2 linked regions of the Cricetulus griseus genome follow. The protein of the gene in region 1 interacts with the protein of each later gene in a biochemical or structural test. Links are inferred from orthologs where the notes say so. Each region holds a gene or a part of one and is shown in the gene's direction. Other genes may lie near its edges.

Evidence for each region. The genes of interacting proteins can lie anywhere in the genome.
Region 2: the proteins of Chd4 (region 1) and Adnp form a complex in vitro, tested with the Homo sapiens proteins (2 studies listed by BioGRID). The link is inferred for Cricetulus griseus from reciprocal best matches to the Homo sapiens genes CHD4 and ADNP.

The regions. Positions count from the first base shown.
Region 1 is NC_048601.1:21,330,543-21,335,715, reverse strand, and holds the start of Chd4 (chromodomain-helicase-DNA-binding protein 4), read left to right. Parts: upstream 1-1,859; 5' UTR 1,860-2,013; intron 2,014-2,050; exon of another isoform or gene 2,051-2,073; intron 2,074-2,846; 5' UTR 2,847-2,925; coding exon 2,926-3,025; intron 3,026-5,173. UniProt on the Homo sapiens protein: ATP-dependent chromatin-remodeling factor that binds and distorts nucleosomal DNA. Acts as a component of the histone deacetylase NuRD complex which participates in the remodeling of chromatin.
Region 2 is NC_048599.1:11,176,235-11,181,430, forward strand, and holds the start of Adnp (activity-dependent neuroprotector homeobox protein), read left to right. Parts: upstream 1-1,993; 5' UTR 1,994-2,125; intron 2,126-3,987; exon of another isoform or gene 3,988-4,128; intron 4,129-5,196.

The DNA.
Region 1 (5,173 bases):
TGGTTTCTTTGGTGGTTTACTTCTTCTTTTAAAATTATTTATTGGTGCCCTGTTAGCCTGGTTGGTTAGAGCATGGGTGCTGATAATAATGTTTATTTATTTGAGACTTGATTCTACTGAAGCCCAGGCTGGCCTTGAATTCACTAAGTAGCAAAGGATGGCCTTAAACTCTTGATCATCTTGCCTTCTGAGTGCTGGGATTACAGGCATATGGCACCATTCCCAGCTGTTTATGTTTCTTGTGGGAAGGCACCTGTATCTTTCTTTCTTTGCCTTCTTAGTTTTTGTGCCAGCTCTCTGTACCTTGCTAGGTTCTCTGTCAAAGGGATGTGTAATGAACACGAGTAAAGGGGAGCAGAGAGCCAGCGAGCAAGGCATTACAGGGGGTCTTCAGTTCATGTGGTGATGATGGGATAGCCATAGGGGCGGCCTGGACTTGAGAGAGGCAGTGGAGAGGACTGCTGGAATGTTGAGAAATAGTTTTTGGATGGGGGTTTATAATTAGTATGGGATGTTCTGGGTCAGTTAAAGTTCATGCAAGTTTTTCATCTAGTAATATATTATTTGTTTGGTTTTACACAAACTTTCAGAGTGGGAGGTAAGCATCTGGGATATACCTGGATTTTGATTGGATTGGATGGGGCTGTAGGTTGGCTCTCTGTTCCTGAGTGTCTGGAAACGGTGAGCTAGGGAGCCCAAGGTCCTGAACATTGAGAGGCTTCTGACCAGAGTACTTACTCCTTTCGGGCAGAAAGGGAATAAGGTGTGTGCTAATGGGGGCGGGGACAGGGCAGTTAGTAGTTTGCCACACCCTCTCTGCTCTTGGGTGTTTGGAAGAGACTGACAGCTTCTAGAGATGGGGGAGGTTGTGACTATTATGGGATGTCCGGCCAGAAGACCTGTGTGAGGTGGTGGAGTGCAGCACAAGTATTACTGGACGTGGCACTCGGTTGTGTTGGCCGTATTATGGTGTCATGGGCTGTCCAAATAGATGGAGTAAATGATGGGACATTGCCCCAGTGTTAGGGGACAGGAGATTTAGACGTCTGTCCATTTGTGGGGTGACAGTAGAGCTGCTGCTGGTCATTAGTGAGTATCTCTTTGATAGGGAGGAACGTAATTTATGGGCCTTGGAGCTAGAAAGACCAGGAAGGCTGGGGGTGGTGATGTGAACATCTAGAACACCCTGAACACCCTGGTGTGCGGGGACTGAGGGCAGCTCTAGGGGGTTGGCTATTATGGGATATCAGTGTAGAAAGTGGGAGACTGATTATTACGGGATGTGTGTGGGAGGAGGCCGAGTGTCCGTTGTAGTGTGGGGTGGGTGAGTTTCTGACAATCATGGGATATCAAACTGGGGGTGGATGAAGGGTGGTTATTATGGGATGTCAGTGGGGGATGGGGTTGAGTATTATGGGATATGAGGCTGAAGTGATGGGAGGGGTGCTTATTATGGGATGGCCAAGGGGAGGGAGGGGTAACGAGTTATTATGGGATGTTAGCAGTAGAGCCAAGAGTGAAGAAGTTGGCAAAGAGTGGTTATTATGGGATATCTGAGGTGGGGAGCAGGTTTAGTTTGTAAAGGTCTGCAGTATATGTCAGTAGCCCCCGGGCACATATATGCATGGAGTGTTGGGGGCGGGGTGTGTGTATGTGGGGTGTCCGTGTGTATTATGGGATGGCCAGGAGGTGGGCGGTTGCCCGGGTGACGCGCGCGCGCGCTCGACGGGGGCGTGGCCAATGGTTGCCTGAGCGACGAGGGGGCGGGGGTTGCCCGGGAGACCTAGGGAGGAGGGTGGCGGTAGTGGAGGGGGGGTTGGAGTTGGTTGAGGTTATTATGGGCTGTCCGTGGGGGGGCGGGGCCTGTGCGGTGGGATTTCCCGGCCGGTGTTTCGGGCCCTTTAAGAGGCGACGCCGGAGCCGGAGCCATTTTCCCCCCTTCGGCCGCGGTGAGGAGGAGCCGGAGCGGGAGTGACACCGGCGAGACCCAGCGCGACCTGAGGCGGCTCTAGGGTGAGGGGAGCGCGAGGCTCCGGGAGAGACGTCTCTCACAGCCCGACATCATCTTGAGGGGTATCGCTTCACCTGTCCCTTCCTCCTCAGGCGTCCCGGGGCCGGCGGGCCGTTCCCGGGCCGGGGAGCCGACCCTGTTCCTCCTCCCCTGAGGCGTCCGGGTTGCCCCCAGGCCGTCGCCCTGCCCTGAGGGAGTCGTGCTCCCCGCGCCCCTCTCCGGGGCTCGGCCTCCCACAATGCCGGGCGCCCGCCCCTCGCCCTTTGCTCGCTGGCCCCCCGGGACACGTGGCCCGGCCCCCTTCTCGGTGGGAGCTCGTCTCCGCCGGCGTCCCGACTCCTCGGGACCCTGGAGCGCCCGAGCCTCCACGCCCCCTGGTCCCCGCCGTTCCGGAAGAGAACCCGAGTTGTCCCAGAGGGACAGCCTTTGGAGAGCTGCCCTGTCTGGGGACTGGCCCCTCCCCGGGCTCAGAGAGGCGCCCCCCCCACTCCCAAGTGACCTTGTGTCCCCGAGCACCGGCCGCCTCCCTGACCCCTCCGCGCCTCGCCCGCCACTCGGACCCCCTCCTCAGGCTCCCCCGGTTCACTCTCGCCCAGCGAGTCCCCACCCCACCGTGCACCAGCCTGACCTCGGGGGCATCGCTCCCTCTTCGTGGGGGCTCCTGCCGGGGAGCCGGCTCGCGGGCGGGCGGTCCCCGAGGAGTGTGGAACTAAGTTCAGCCTGAGTGCTTCGGGTGCTCGGCTGGGGTGGCAGGGCCGGGGAGGGGGGGGCGGAAAGAGCGAGTGGGGGAGGGGGACTGCGCGTCACTCACTGTTCTCCCCCCTCCCCCGCACAGTGACTCGGGCCAGTGTAGAGGGCCCCAGGCCGCAGGCAGGAGCAGCTGGGCCAATTCCCTGGCCGGGGAGCGGAAGGGGATGGCGTCGGGCCTGGGCTCCCCGTCCCCCTGCTCAGCGGGCAGTGAGGAGGAGGATATGGATGCACTTCTGAACAACAGCCTGCCCCCACCCCATCCAGGTAACGTCTTCCCAGAGCGCCCAGGGCAGGAAGTGTTTGATCTTTCCTGGAGACTGGAGTGAGGCTGGGTGTGCGCTTGTCTCCTGCCTGCAGAGCCCAGGGCGGAGGGCATCCGAAGGGAGTGGTTCTCTTCTGCGGAGCTCTTGTGTCTTGGGAGGGGGGAGCCATGCGCCTCCTGGCCACCGCGGACCCAGATGTAAGCTGGCTGTACTCAAGGCTGTCTGGAATACTCCGCAGTTCCCAGTTGAGGGAGCTCTCTGGGCTAGCAGGCATTTACCTTGTGCAGGTTCTTAGGAATGCAGGTGGCTGGGACTCCTGGAGACTGGTGACACGGTGGGGAGCGTTGAGATTTCTGTTGTAGGAGCCCTGCCAGGCATTTGGGATCCCGCAGTTGTTCTCGGGAAAAGAAAGTGGGAGTGTTGGTTGGTTGCTCTCTGTCCGATTATTTTTAGCTTGTAATCAGTTACCGGTTTTCTGCGCAGTTTCAGGAGTGCGAAGTTTGAATCTCGCTCCTTGTCGGATCTAGAGAACTTTTAGCTAGGCAGATTATTGGGATTTTTTTGAGTGAGGAAGGGATGGGGGGACTAGGAGGATGCAGTACCCGAGTAAGGAGAGGCAGAGTGAAGGAAGGGGACTCCTTTTCCCCCGGAGTGGACATAATCCTGGCTTCCTTCCTAGAGGCTTCGGCCACTCCGAAGTAGTTTGGGGTCTGGGTTAGTGGTGTGAGGTGTTTGTGTGGGTGTGTTAGGGTTTGCACTATCGGTGTTTTGGGGTGGCTCCTTGGACTGGCCAAACCCGTAAAGTTATAACCAGCTTGCCCAAGTGCCTGTTCTCAAGTGATGGTTGATGTCATGCTTATAAGTGGATTTCTTCTCTTGTCTCCTTATTCAGAGCCCCGTAGTTGAGACACCTATTGGTTTATTGACTCCCTGTTCACTTAAAAAAATTTTAAATTTAAATTAAAAAAAGCAAGTCCTTCCCTACCATTCTGGAGTCTGGTGGTCTTGATTTTTTTGTTTTTGTTTTTGTGGTTTTTCTATGTAACAGCCCTGGCTGTCCTGGCATCTGCTTTGTAGACCAGCCTGGCCTCGAACTCACAGAGATACAATTGCCTCTGCCTCCTGAGTGCTGGGATTAAATGGTGTCCACCACCATGGCCAGGCCTGTTTTTGTTTTTTATGACATGGTTTTCACTTCTGCCTTTTCCTTAGATCCAACTGGATTTTGAGGTAGCCCAAAGAAATGCTTTTTAAATTAAATTTGCCTTTTTCTTTTCTTTTTTCTTGAGACAGGGCTTCTCTTTGTAGCCCTGGCTGTCCTGGAACTCACTCTGTAGATTAGGCTATCCTCCAACTCACAGAGATGAACCTGCCTCATGAGTATTGGGATTAAAGACGTGTGCTACCACTGCTCAGCAAATGTGACATTTTCTGATTTGAAATTATTTACTTCACAGTCCCAGGCCATTTAAGAGAGCTGTTACCTTTGGCCACTGGGATAAGGGACTTAGATTTGCATCTCATCACTGAGGTGTAAGGCTGCAGATTCCTGTGCCTTTATGGGGTGGTGGTAAGGAAGAAGGCTTACTTTCCTTCATATTCTTTGTGAGGGGCAGGATGAGTAGTGCTGTCCCACCAGTGTTGGTCCTCAGCGTAGCCTTTGGGCTATTATCCCTTTGGTCTAGGGCTTTCCTCCCGAGTTGAGTGTGAGCTATGCAGTCTCTCAGTGTGAACTCTGCCCCACTGTGTAGCTTGACCCAGTTTTTCCACATGACACACCCAATTTGCCCCTTTCCCAAATCTTCCTTTCTGTCTCCTGCAGTGTGTTGCTTGTCATTTCAGCGTGTGATTGCCTGAGGAGTTTGAGGGGTGCATGCGGACGGAGAGGCAGGCATTGCTTTGCCTCCATGTGCTTGTCCTTGTCTCTTCTGCTCTGTAGGCAAAGATGAAGAAGGGTGCAACTGATTGAGGGGTACTGTAAGGGCTGTGGGGGAGAAGCCTTTAAGAAAATGATCGTTTGGGAATGAGAGGGGTCTTCTAACCTGACTTGATACTGGAATGAGTGAAAATGGGAGGCCTATGGTGCTTGTACAGCCTTAGGGCCTGTCTAACTTTGCAAGGGCAGAACTGGAATCATTTCAGGGCTACT
Region 2 (5,196 bases), on another chromosome or scaffold:
AGCACTCTACCTCAGTGTTCAACGTCACAATCCCTCTGGCACTGTTGGGGCTTCGCTGGCCATGTTTGAGCAGGGAACACCACCATTCAGAAGTCATGTAGAGGAGGAGGATGCCAATTTTTCAGCTCCACTTTTGTACTAATTCTGGTGAGATAAACATGCACATCTTTTTTTTTTTTTTAAACCCCTGAATCCAGCACCTTTTGTGCTTCAAAGTAAAGGCAGTGATGAAATCCAGATTCCTTCACACTGCTGTTATGGCTGTATGAAATCTGCTTGTCTAAGGAAAACTAGAGATGAATTTACTTTGCCTATTTAATATTCCCGTTGTCTGTTTCTCCATATCTTGAGTCCTTTGATGAAAGGGCTTGCCCCACCCCTTTTTAAAGAACTTCTGTCTCTTGTTTTTCATTGAGGCATTGATTACACTTTTAAATATATAATACCTGCAGAAAGAAAACAATAGTGTCAGATGAAGGTTTATTCAACTTGCTACCAAACCCTTAGACACGGAGCTGCATATAGTTTGTAAGATTCTTTCAAACTTGTAACTTAAGCAAGTGTAGAGATCACCTATTTTTTTAAAAAGTGGGTGTGGCCAATATATCACAACTTCACTTGCTACTTTTCCATATGCTCTAGGGTAACTACTGTTCATTTAAAGGGGACCTAAGGGTGTTGATGTTGACATGGTGTGTTGGTTGGAGCTGATCTAAAGTGACAAAGCCAACAGTCCATGTATTGTCATGCTGAAATTGGGGGACCACCAGAACTTTTCATCTTTCAGCATCGTGAGTTCGATGGCCTCAACTCTACAAATCCCACTTTTTCTTATTTAAGTCAAGGAGAAATGGCCATCTGATGACTTGGAAGAATGTCTTGAGTCCAAGAAACAGCAGAACTGTAAAGCTGAGCCCTTGTCCACCTGTTATCCCACAGCAACCCACTAGAAGAGCTGACATGGCCCCAGAGCCATGTCATCTCAAGAGAATGTGTGAAGCACGAGGGCATCACACCTCACTTCAGGCTGGAGGCATCAGGCTCAGCCCTCCGCCTTGCCTCTCAGCCTGTGAGAGCACGCTCTGTGAGCACGTGGAGCCTCGGGGCCGCCCGCGCACCCTCCCTCCAGATGTAGTCCAGGCCCAGATGGGCCCGCGCAGGGATCCCCAGCACAGCCACCTGACTGATTGTCGGAGCGTGCTGCGGCCCGCTGCTTGTGCCTCCGCCGGCGGCGCTGCGGCCAGGGGAAGGGAAGGGAAGGGAAGGGAAGGCACCCAGGAGCGCACTGCGGCCATTATCCACGGCGCCTCCTAGCGGCTCAATGGGGAAGCCTCCAAGTTCTCGCGAGAGCTCCCCAGAGTGGGGGTTATATAATCTCCCCAGGCTAGGTTGGGGGTGCTGAAGGCACCCTCCGGCGGGAGCAGTGGGGGTCGGCGCGGCGCGCGGCCGGAGAGCGGTCCCCCGAGGGTCCCGGTGCAGGGGGCCTGGCCCCCCGCCCCCCCAGGAGCTGGACAATGAGTCCTCTTATGCTAATGAGGGGCTTACGTCACTTCCGCTCTTTCTCGGCCGCCATTTTGGCTAGGGCAGGTTCGGGGACTCGCTCTGAGGCGCTTGTATTGTCTGCTGAGGGGAGACGCGGGACCAGCCCCCTCCCCCGCCCGCCGCCGCCGCGCCGCCGGCCCGTCCACCCGCCGCCGCCGCCGGGACCATGAGCTGAGCGCCCGCCCCCGGCCGCCGCCATCTTGGCCCCCTCCCCCTCCGCGCCGCCGCCGCGCCGCGCTCGGGGGGATTTGGCGTCTCCTCAGACACAGCTCCCTCTCTCGGTCCCCGCCGCCGAGGAGCCGCGCGGCTGTGCCGCCCGCCGGCCCGCGACGGTGAAGCCGCGGCCCCACGCCCTCCGCCGCCCTCCGCCCCTCCTTTGTCTGCACTGCCCGCGCCGCCGCCCGCCGCTCTGCTGCGCCCGCCGCGCCCCCGGCAGCAGCCGCGGCCGCGGCTCGAGCCGGAGCCGGAGCCCGAGCGCGACGAGGCCCCGGGCGCGTCCTCGCCGCCATCGCCGTGCCGCCGCCCGCTCGCCGCCGGGCCTCGGAGCACGCCGGCCCCGCGCACGCCTCGAGGCCGAGCCAAGGTAAGCCCGCGGCCCTGCCCTGCCCGGCCCGGCCCGGCCCTGCCGGCCTCCGGTCCCGGGCGCGGTCCTCGTGCTCCGCGCGCACACTGCCCTCCACCGGCCTCTGCCCTCCACCTCCTGCAGCCCGACCCCTCTCCGCCCCGAGAGCCCGCCGGCCGGCCGGCAGGCTGGTGGCATCTTCCCGCACCCACCCCGCCCCCAACAGGACCCCGCTCTCTCGGCCCCCAAACTCATCCCTCGCCCCCTCCCCCCACGCCCGCCCTCGGTCCCCGGAACCAGCCTTCTGCCAGGTCTGCCCACCCTAGGCTGCGGGGGAGGGGAGCGGCCTGGGGGGCGGGGAGTGCATGGCACGGAGGGAAAGTCTTTGCCACCCCGACAACATGCCTGCTTCCCTCCCATCCCAACAAGCACAGCCAGCCCTTCGCCAGCCCGGCTCTCGCTCCCGGCTGCCTGCTCAGCACTACCCTTTAGAGCTTTCTGATACTCAACTTTGCAGTCAGAAAATGGAAATCCAGAAAGCCGCGAAAAGCTTTTTGTCGAATGCAATGAATGGGGAGTAGTTGTGAGCACCCTCTCATTCACCTCTTCTTTCCTCTGGGCTGCCTGTCCTCGTCCTCAGCCACCCACCCACCCCACCCCACCACCTGGATGCCTGTCTGGTAGAAAAGGCGCGATTGCTTCTCTTCCTCTTGTGTCCAAGATCGGGCTTTGAAGTCTAACACCCGTTTTAGCTTCACTCCCTGCCACACACCGCAAGTGTCTTCTCAGTGTTCTTCAGTCACCAACCAGTTCCTCTGGACAGTTCTTGTCATAACCCCATTTCACAGACAAAGGCTTAGGAGGGAAAAAGAACCAAACTGTTTCCTGTGTTAGCCATTTTAATACTGTCCAACCCCAAACGCCCAGTTCCCATCCCTGATGCTTCTTGTGCCTGTGTCTTGAACCTTCAGGATGGGGGGGGGGCCTGTCTCTTGGATAGCTTTGTGCAGTTTCTTTATAAATCTGCATTGTTGCTTCTGGTTTATGGCCATGAAGAAAATACCAGCCCCCACCCAAAATGCACCGCAGCCAACTCGGTTAAAGGCAATGAGTGTTGGAGTCAGTAGGGGGCGCATTCTCTGCACTGGGTAAGGCTGCAGAGGGGGGAAGGGCCCCAGAACTGGAACAGGATGTGCTTAACAGCGCCTTCTACAGACCAATCGAAAATGGGTCCAGCAAGACTTGCACTTAGTTGAGCTGACAGCAACATGGCGAAGGATGAAGTGAGCCTACAGAGAGATTTTTATTTAAGAAAGCCACATCATCGTTTGGAAAGTTTTTACTTGTTCCAAACTGTTCACCCTCAGACTTTGGTTGCTGATCAGTCACCTTCATGCACATCCTTAGGTCATAGGTTCCCTTTCTCAACCTTCAGGTTTGGATGCGTCAACATCTCTTTCCTAGGCCAGATGGTAAAGGGGGTGTTTTAAATCTGAAAGTAATGGGCTTGGGGTATCACTGGTCAGTCCAAATCTCTCCAGCTCTTTTGAGAGTGAAAAGTCATTTTTTTAAGAGGTTTTTATGGGGTGGTGATTTTCATAGCCATGAGAAATGGGTGTCATGATTTGCAAGGCTTTGTTGGTAAACATCAGATCCTTATTGAGTTCTTCATTGTCAAACTTAATAGAGTTGATTGCAAATTTTTGTTGCCTTCCAACTTCAGTCTTCCAGCAGTGTGTTCTGTCGGTAGCCAACTGCCTTTGCAAGTGTTGACACCAGGCTTGGTGTGCACCACTTTCTTAGGGTGTGTGGATTTCCGTAGATTTTACTCCTGTTGTTATTTCCATAGGTGTGAGATGCACAGTACGAAACCTAGGCCCCAGCTTTTACACCGTGATGCACAGGGTTGCACTTTTTGTACTGAGCTGATAGGTGGCCTAGTGGTTATTCCCTGTACTGCCATTTTGAGGATCTGGACTCCGTTCCCTGCCTTGCTCTTTGGACTACATTGTCAATTCACACCGGTGGGTATATCATTTTGGAGGGTGGGTGCTGAAGCATCAGGGAAGCCAGATACTTCCTCCTTGGTCACCACCAAAATGTACCCTTCCAAAATTTCAGCTTAGCCATATTCCTCAAGGAACCAGTTAGAGTTGGTTGCAGTAGTAGAATTCTGAACATGTTAGAAATGTGACTCTTTTAATAGAGAGAATTTTAAAGTTGATGGTGTTATAGTCATTTGCAGTCTGTACTGTTGGGCATAAAGTTTTAAGTAAACTCAAGACTTGCTAAGCTTCTAAGAGCCTTAATTTCTTAACTTGGTTAAAGGGAGTTGGGGGCAATGGGTCATTGATAGAGATCAAGATTAGCCTGGTAGGAGTTCCTGCACTTGTTCTTGCTTGGGAAGATTGACAATGGGTGTTGATACCTGTGGATACTTTATCCTACTATTACAAACATCTTACATAGACATGCCAAGATAAATTTATGGGATGCCAAATGGATGTGTATGATATATAGTTTACCATTTAGTGCTTGAAGATTTTTTTTTTCTTTGTTAGATGGTTGCCACAAGGTAACTTTTTCTGTGTGAAAAGGAGGCACCTTGGTGCCAGTATTGCCCTGAGAGACTGCACTGGATTCACATTTTATGTATTTATATATCTTTAGTATTTACAGAATCCATTATTAAATACAAATAGAATTGTTAGTGATCTTGAAATACTGTATTTGTATTTGTTAGACTTGTAGTTTTGTCCTATATTCTCCTGTTTGGTAGTAGGTTGTTTTTAAGATGATTTTTTTTTTTTTAATGTACATTTGGGATTTTGCCTTTATGTATGTCTGTGAGGATGCCAGATCCCCTGGAACTGGAGTTACAGACAGATGTGAACCGCATGAGGGTGCTGGGAAGTGTGCCAGTTAATCTCATTCTTAAGTAAATAATAAGGTTTGAGTATATGTTTGCGGTTTGCAAATGTGATTTTGTTCATTCTAGTAAATGAAATACAGTGTTAGCTAGTATCCTTGTCATTTTTCCTTCAGGGAACCTTGTGAACTGAGAATGAGTACACTCTTAAGTTTGAACAGTT